Linked DNA regions of Xenopus tropicalis. The protein of the gene in region 1 interacts with the protein of each later gene in a biochemical or structural test. Links are inferred from orthologs where the notes say so. Each region holds a gene or a part of one and is shown on either strand. Other genes may lie near its edges.

The links.
Region 2: the proteins of ywhaz (region 1) and prkcz form a complex in vitro, tested with the Homo sapiens proteins (2 studies listed by BioGRID, with this or other methods). The link is inferred for Xenopus tropicalis from reciprocal best matches to the Homo sapiens genes YWHAZ and PRKCZ.

What each region holds. Positions count from the first base shown.
Region 1 is NC_030682.2:130,830,662-130,835,110, reverse strand, and holds the start of ywhaz (14-3-3 protein zeta), read left to right. Parts: upstream 1-1,519; 5' UTR 1,520-1,892; intron 1,893-4,449.
Region 2 is NC_030683.2:91,413,612-91,417,432, forward strand, and holds part of prkcz (protein kinase C zeta type), read right to left. Parts: intron 2,850-3,821; coding exon 2,714-2,849; intron 2,129-2,713; coding exon 2,041-2,128; intron 1,060-2,040; coding exon 940-1,059; intron 140-939; coding exon 60-139; intron 1-59. UniProt on the Homo sapiens protein: Calcium- and diacylglycerol-independent serine/threonine-protein kinase that functions in phosphatidylinositol 3-kinase (PI3K) pathway and mitogen-activated protein (MAP) kinase cascade, and is involved in NF-kappa-B activation, mitogenic signaling, cell proliferation, cell polarity, inflammatory response and maintenance of long-term potentiation (LTP).

The DNA.
Region 1 (4,449 bases):
GCTCCAATTAAGGGGCCATTTTTAGAGATAGGATTAATTTTTAGCCCTAAGTGAAACCAGCACCATATATTATTCATAAGCTCACAAAATTAGGGTTTTTTCCCATTTATCCAATATGTCTCCTTTAATAGGTGATTTGTAGACTTTAGGTATAGAATACCTGTCTAGGATCCCCCAGTGAATTAAATGCTAAGTTTTTCCCCACTCTGGGGCTCCTTTTAGGAAAAATTGCACCAACCTGAGGAGACTTCTAAGTAAACACTATTCTACCATTTCACCTCTCTCCCTGTATAAAATCTGAAACTATTACTGGACTTGTCTAGTCCCAGTAAATTAGGCTTTCCTTGTGACTTGTTCATTAGCTATTCAGTATTAAAAAGGGAGATATAAGAATATAAGACACAAATGTCTTCCAGATGTTGACCTGAAATCATTTGAGTTGTAGCTTGACAAAACCTGTAGGAATGCAGGTTGCTCCTGCCTACATCACATACTCAACATCAGTCACAATGATTATCGTATATAGTCTTTCTACCTTTTATTCCACCACTAACTTCATTGCATGTAAAGAAACACATTAAACCAGCCAGTGAGGTAGATCCTAATCAATATAAAATAAATCCTTAGTTCCTTAGTGTGCCCATTTTTGATCAGTCAATCTGGTTTAAGTAGACAGGGGTACAGGTATGGGACCTGTTATCCAGAATGCGAGGGACCTGTGGTTTGGGTCTCCGTTCGTTAAGTCTGCTAAAAAATAATTGAAATATTAAATAAACCCATTATTTAGTCATGTGTTTTCAGTTCACTGTGTTTCTTCTGCACTTTTGGCAGCAAACTGTACTATGTGATGCACTGCTGTGGGCAAGGTATTGTGAGTTACACTAAGGAGAGTATATTTTAGGTTTCTGAAATGAATGTGTATGGGTCCCTTGGGGAGCTAGTGTGGTACTGATGTACCCTTGCACATCTTATTTGCTTTGATTTTCCTCATTAATTTAAACAGAGACTACTGTACCTATTTTGTAAGGAGGCATTCCATGTAATTACATATCTAATTTGTATCCTGTAACATATAAAGTACCCTAATAAACAGAGCATAGTGATGTCATTTTTTCACAACTTGCTGAAACTTGTGTATTATAAAATGTAATGTACCTCCTGTAGTATTAAGGATACTTGAAGTCACCTTAGGGCCCATGACCTGTATTATTGGCCATCAGCCTCCTGCCTTTGTATGGAACTCAGTGTCGTTGCAGGCCAGGGTGCTTTAAGCCTGACATAATCAATGCACAGCCATTGCAACAATGCAACAACTGCACCAAAGCCTATTTCATGCCCTTTCATGTTTTCAGTAGGTAATGTCGCGTTTGCCTCCCCACACTTCCCAGAAACCTGCCCTGTAGCAATAGTAAAGAAATCTGCACCCCCTTCTCCTGATGGATTAGCCCTCTCTCCTAACCCCACCCTCCTGACACATTCTGCGACCAGCCAGTGACACTGCAGCGTCGAGGAGCGTCCACGACAAGCGCCACAAGTACGAGCGCCCCGAGTACGAGCACCCCACCCACCGTCTCCCTCCTGCCTCTGCGCGCACCCGTAGCTTAAGCGAGGAGTTGGGGTGGGGAAATAAGGAGACGCAGAGACCCAAACGGGCGGTTATTATGCCACCCAGTCAGCGGTTGCCATAGCAGCGCTTGACGTCACTCTCCGACCCCTGCTCAGCGATTGGAGGAAACCCCGTGCATCGGTTAGAGCTTTGAGCGCTCGGAAGGAGACCGGACTCTGCTATCGGCAGTCAGTCACACACGGAGAAAGCGAGACGTGCGCTCGTCCAAGCCCGGGGATTCGACTACTTGCCGGCAACGGTTCGTGTTCCCTGCAGCCTATCACAGGTACAGCGCGGGAAGGAGCATTACACCTGCAGGGAGGAGGGGGTGAGGTCAAATTCGGGCGGGCCGGCCGGCCCTGATAATGGCGGAGAGGAAGCGGCTCCCTGCATTGTTCATGCCATAGATGGGGTGGGCTACATGGGGGAATCAATGCACATTATCTGCGCTGAATAATCCTATTTAATTCTCACCCCGCTCGGGTTCTGTATTTCAGCCCTTTTTTTGTTCAGGGTGATGGGGAGGTGCCTGGCTTCCTCCTCCTCCTCCTCTCGCCTTTCTCCCTAGAGCCTCCTTTACAGACCCATATATGGCTGCCACTTACATTTTCTCCTATCATCGGGGTTTTGTATCGTATTGATTGTGGGCCCCCCAGCTTCAGTGGCCCCCCCCCAGCTTCAGTGGCCCCCCCCAGCTTCAGTGCCCCCCCCCAGCTTCAGTGCCCCCCCCCCCCAGCTTCAGTGCCCCCCCCCCAGCTTCAGTGGCCCCCCCCCCAGCTTCAGTGGCCCCCCCCCCAGCTTCAGTGGCCCCCCCCAGCTTCAGTGGCCCCCCCCAGCTTCAGTGGCCCCTGGCCCGAATGTATTGATTTTATTCACAATATGAGATGGCCAGCCTGCAGCTCCTATCCCCCCTACACCCGAATGGTAGCGATCCTGGGGGTGCTGCAGCTTGGCCATCATTAATTATATTAATCAGGCTTCCTGTATTAAAAGACCCCCCATTATCTCTAACTTGGGCCCTGGAGAAATGATATGTAGGCAGTGGCCCCTTTTTCATTTAAAGGCACAGTAAATCATGACCTGAGTCTGTTCTGCACATTGCTCTTTATGTCTTTTGTGACTGGTGGGAGCTGCCCTACTGCCCTAATAAAATGAGTATCATCCAAAACCCACTATGAGATGGGGGCCCTCAACTAGTGACAATGGTGTGCTGCTGAGCCCAACAAGGCATTTTTTATGGTGGAGGAGGGCCTTTTTTTTTTTTTTCTTTTTTAAATCAATTAATGGTCATTGCAATTCCCCTTTAATACAAGCAGATGACACCGATCCATATTTAGCCCTTGAGCTGCAGGGCTCTTGCTTTGTAATATGCAATGCAAATCCCATCTGTGTGTGTGTGTGTGCGCCTGTAGCGCTGATGCGCGTACCCTCCCCCATGTTGCATCGATAGAAAGGGAAAAAAAAAGGCTGCAAGAGAAGCAAGCATTGCAGTACAGGTGAGGCTGCCTCCTCCCCCCGCTCAGTAATAAGCCTCTGGGGAGGAGGGGAGGGGTCTCTTGCCATCATCTGCTGCTGGGTCAGTGGCAGCTGGACTAGGTAGCCGAGGCTGCTACTGGCGGCTGACAGATTCTGCGTGGGCTACTGGTCTCGCTGCTTGCTGGTAGTGCTTAATACAGATATTTTGCATGCACTTCTGCAGCTGCCGCTGTTCTAAAATTCCTAGCGTTTATTGTCAGCTAAAGGCTATATTTCTGCAATAGCTGGAGGGCTGAGGCTATTGTTAATCCCTGGCAGCCCGTGCTGCCTGTCACCGTTATTGACAGGCAGTTGCCATTAAATTTAATGACAGGGTGCTTCATACCCAGCACAGAAACCACCATGTTTATGCATCTCTAAATGTTCCCTGAAAGTGTGTACATCGAAGCCCACGTTATTTTGCTTTGAAATGTTTAGTGACCCCTGAAGCTTGCAATCTAATGTTGTTACCTGCGGGCCATGCTGTTGAAATGAAAGTCAGGTTTACCTAAATCAATCTAGGGTGATGGATTCTAGGCCTCTCATAGCTTTTAGCAGGCCTTGTTGCATTGCAGGGTTAAGGCACCCACCCCATAGTCTGTAATAAAGGCACAAACTGCAGACCGTGTCTTGTTAAAATGTTACCTGGACCATGTGCGTTTATCAGGAGCATCTGGGTTTTGAATGTAAGCAGCGACACAATAGCCATTTCACTGCATAGGAATTGCGGATGATGCAGAGATTTAACGTGTCTCTTATCTTCTCATGTTAGACGTTGTACCCAGACACGCAGGAAGTACAGCTGCAACAAAAAAGCTTTATAGCTCTCCTTTCTCACCCCTCCACCTTCGTTACACTATGATACATATCAGAAAGGGAGGTGTTCTCTTGGGCAGTGTCTGCAAGCTCCTTAGTCACAAAGCCCTCAGAGGCGGCAGCAGTTTTATTGGTTGTGGTGAAACATTGCTAGTCTCTCTTACTGAGACATTATGTGAAAAGGTTCCTCGATATATTCATTGAGTATGTGAAATAATTAATTTGCTGTTTGGATCACAGTGCTTCTGTTCTAGTACAGATAGGCATCTATTTAATACTTTTAGAATGTTACATATTCTGCAAACTCCCTAGTGTTACAGTATGTCTAAAAGAATGGGTGATGCAATAGAGCAGCTTTTAACCAGTAACCTGGATCCCTTCATCTGTTAAACACATGGTGCTTTTGTAACATACGGGGGGCCCCACAGCCTGTGCATCCCCCCGGCTTTAACTCATAGAAATGCGAATGAACTGCTGTTCAGAGCTTGCTCAGCCATCACCCCTTTGCTGTT
Region 2 (3,821 bases), on another chromosome or scaffold:
ATAAATATATAGTTTTGTAATTGCCCTTAGATGGCTTTTGAATCCAAACCAATACATACCTTGTTTAAAAATCCTTTTAAGACATGGGAAGCTTTCACAGAGAGGAACCTTGGAATCCGAATTGGCTTTTCAAGAATAACTGGGTATTAGATAGAAAAATAGATGTTTAGTTGGGTCCAAAATCTGTTCTGTAAAAACCATCATAGTAATTGCGGAGTTTAAATTAACAAAATACATTACATATTCTACATCTAGCCCCTGAGAAATAGACAATTGTGATGTAGGTAACAAACATCAGCTAAATCCATGCTTTGCTATCAATTTGAGCTTCTTTAAATGTATTCTCCCTATACTTTCTGCTCATTGCCTTGTCTCTTCTTTGATTACTTTTTTTTTTTTTTTTTTTTTTTTTTTAGATTTGAACATGACAGACAGAGCCAAGACAACATAGCAATAAACAGCTCCTGTGCTACAAGCCATGCTGGTGCTGTCTGGGTCTTGAATGCATCTAGAGAGTGCTACTGAGAGGATCCAGCCCTGTTTGTGAGTGATGATTCCCTTCTGACAGAACACAGATCTGTCCACTGGCATGAAGCTTCCTTCTGGACTAAACTGCAAGTGGGGAAAAGGCAGTCCCCTGTAATATTCATCCTTAGTTTTAAGAATTTACGGTTAGTCCAATAACTAACCCATCCAACATCTTTAACCTATTGCCCAATATACCTATCTGATAAATCACTAACCTAGGTAACAGATTACTAGTCTATACAATGTAAGAACATGGCAGCAAATTCATCACATCCATTTACAATAGAAAGCAATGTATTGCACATAACCAATTAACAGAGCATGCACTGGTTATTCATATTACAGAGTATATAACATATACTATATAACATACATACATACAAAAAAATACTGACAACACAGTTCACAAACCTTGGAAAAGATAATCTTCTGTGTTCATATCTGGATTGTCTGTAATTATGTCAAAAGGAGACCTTCCAGCCATCATCTCAAACATGAGCACCCCCAGAGCCCACCAATCAACACTGAACCCTGCCGAAAAGAACGCAAAATATAATCTTTGATGAGAAATCTTTCAAATCTGTCTGATGAACTCCTGTCTAAATAATTTAAGCTGTTGAAGACGATCACAAGTGGCTCACCACTATGAGATATTTCAGATCAGTGCTTATTAAATGCTTAATTCTCATCTGATTTAAAACAAAATTAGTACATTTAGCTTAAATATATACTAGGTTATTTTGACATAACAGCACATTTAGATTTGTATCAATGAACACTGCTACATTTCTTAAATCACATTAAAAAAGTTAAACACTCCCTGAATATAAAAGCAGAAAACCTAATTATTGACACAAGGGGTGTTGTCTGATGTAGTTTAGATTTTGCTTTAAAGGGATACTATCATTTAAAAATATTATATGTACACATTAATATGATGTCTGAAAGTTCCAAACTACGGGAAGACCATCTCCTATAAACTTCATTTCAATCAAATAATTCACATTTTTAAAATGATTTCCTTTTTCTCTGTAGCAATAAAACAGCACCTTGTACTGTATGGAGATCCTAATTATGGAAAGATCCCTTGTCTGGAAAATCCCCAGGGTCCTGAGTATTCCGGATCTACTGTATACTGGTTTTTAAAAATGTTTCTAGTTGTATAAATCTGTCAGACAGTAACTGCCTACATGGCTACTCCACACCAAACTGGCAACTTATTGGCCTGTGTATGGGGGAAAGCAGGACAGTCTCTCTAACTAATATCTATCCAGAATCAGGCAAATACTAGTTAGGAAGGTTAAAAAATCTGAAGGACCACATTGCACTGTTCAAATTCAAATACTTCTCATAATCTTGTTGCAAAATTCTTTAGATAATGTTTTCTTTCATTAGCTCACAAGGCCATTTATGAGAGTGAACTTAGTGAACTGCCGATTCCCTTTACCTAAATATAAAGAAAGTGAAAGACACCAAGATAAAATATTTGCACCTTGGAATTTTGTTGCTTACCGTATTCTTCTCCCCGGAGGATCTCGGGAGCAATGTAATTTGGAGTGCCACAGAAAGTGCTAGTAGTGTCTCCTGGTCCTAGCCCCTCCTGTAACAGAAAGAAATTATATTCTAATATGCACTGAATATATTTTTCTCCCAAGAAACACAAAACATTCTACAGCAGCCATTTTTATAATCATAAAGAAGAACAAAGAGACAACAAAAGATGAACATTGTGCCCAACAATACAACATTCAAACAATGTAATGTAGTGTCTCGATCTACAAAAACAAGATCCCATTAAGGAAATTCACTGATAGTCATGTAACTATTACTGCACCATTTATGCAAAAAAAATAAAAGTAAAACGATCCCTTAATTTCCTTTCAGGAAAAATAAATTACATTTAGTTTTAATTTAAGTAGAAGGAAAGGGTTAATCATTTAGGGGTGGCAAATGTTAGGCACCCCTCCAATCATTTTAATCACCTTCCTGATACCCTAGGCCAGTGCTCCCACTAGCAAAAAAAAAAAAAAAACTACACCGGCCTGTGATATTTCTGGAGTAGCACCATGGGGTGATCCTCTTCCTGCATCTACTGAGCTTCCTGAGCATATGTGCTGTTCAATGGTGTTCATAGTGATTAAGGCTGCATGCAGTTGGAGAAATGTCTGCCCATGGAGCGCCTTACCTTACACATGCCATAATCTGTTAGCTTGATATGACCATCAGCATCTAGGAGAACATTGTCTAACTTTAGATCTCTGTAGATGATTCCCCTTTCATGCAGGAAATTCAAAGCAATACAGATCTCAGCAGCATAAAACCTTTAAAAGAAAAAATCTGTATTAAAATGCCATACATGTATTTCAAAAATTATTCATGACCAAACACTTGGCTGTGCAATTGCAAGCAACTTTCTTTAACAACTCATTTGGAAAACTGTGATGGCAGCATTAGTTCTACAGCAATTGGTGCTGTTTGTGTTCCCGGGCCCTTAGCTTGCCGGTTTTAGCTTGCCTATATATTCACTGGATTGGCATTCTGAAAGGTTTTGGAATGAGAGGGATTTGTTTGTGAGGCCCAGTAATGGAAAGTTATAGTAATGTATGTAAAGTAGCTGAAATCATATATTTTGTAACTGTTTGAATATAAAGATTTTTATTTTTGGAGGGATTTAATTAATAGAGAAGCACAGTACAGACAGTGAAAGGTCTTTATGAAAAGACTAGAAATGCAAGCCAGATAAAAAATGTGTATATATTTTCCTTTACATTTGTATCTGTTCAACCAGTACCTAAATATAAACTAGTTATGGTTATAAATGTTTATATGAGAGAGGATTTTATTCAATTGTTCTGTAAAAAGTAATGAATTACATTTGAACCATGTTTACCTTTCTGTGTAAGAACTAAAACCATTGTATCCCACAGAGTTTTCTGCTATGTAATCATGGGCCCGATTCACTAAAGTCCGAAATAAGGAGTGCTATTTATAGCATGTGTTAAAAATCTTATCACTTCTTATTTTTCGCTCGATTCACTAAAAGGACACTTGTCATAATTAAGAAGCGATGTTCTTGGCGTTATTTATCTTGCGACGACATATTTTCAAGCAACGTGCTGCCTAATATGTTGTGCGCTGCGTAATATATTGCTTGAAAATTTGTCGTCGCAAGATAAATAACGCCAAGAACATCGCTTCTTAATTATGACAAGTGTCCTTTTAGTGAATCGAGTGAAAAATAAGAAGTGATAAGATTTTTAACACATGCTATAAATAGCACTCCTTATTTCGGA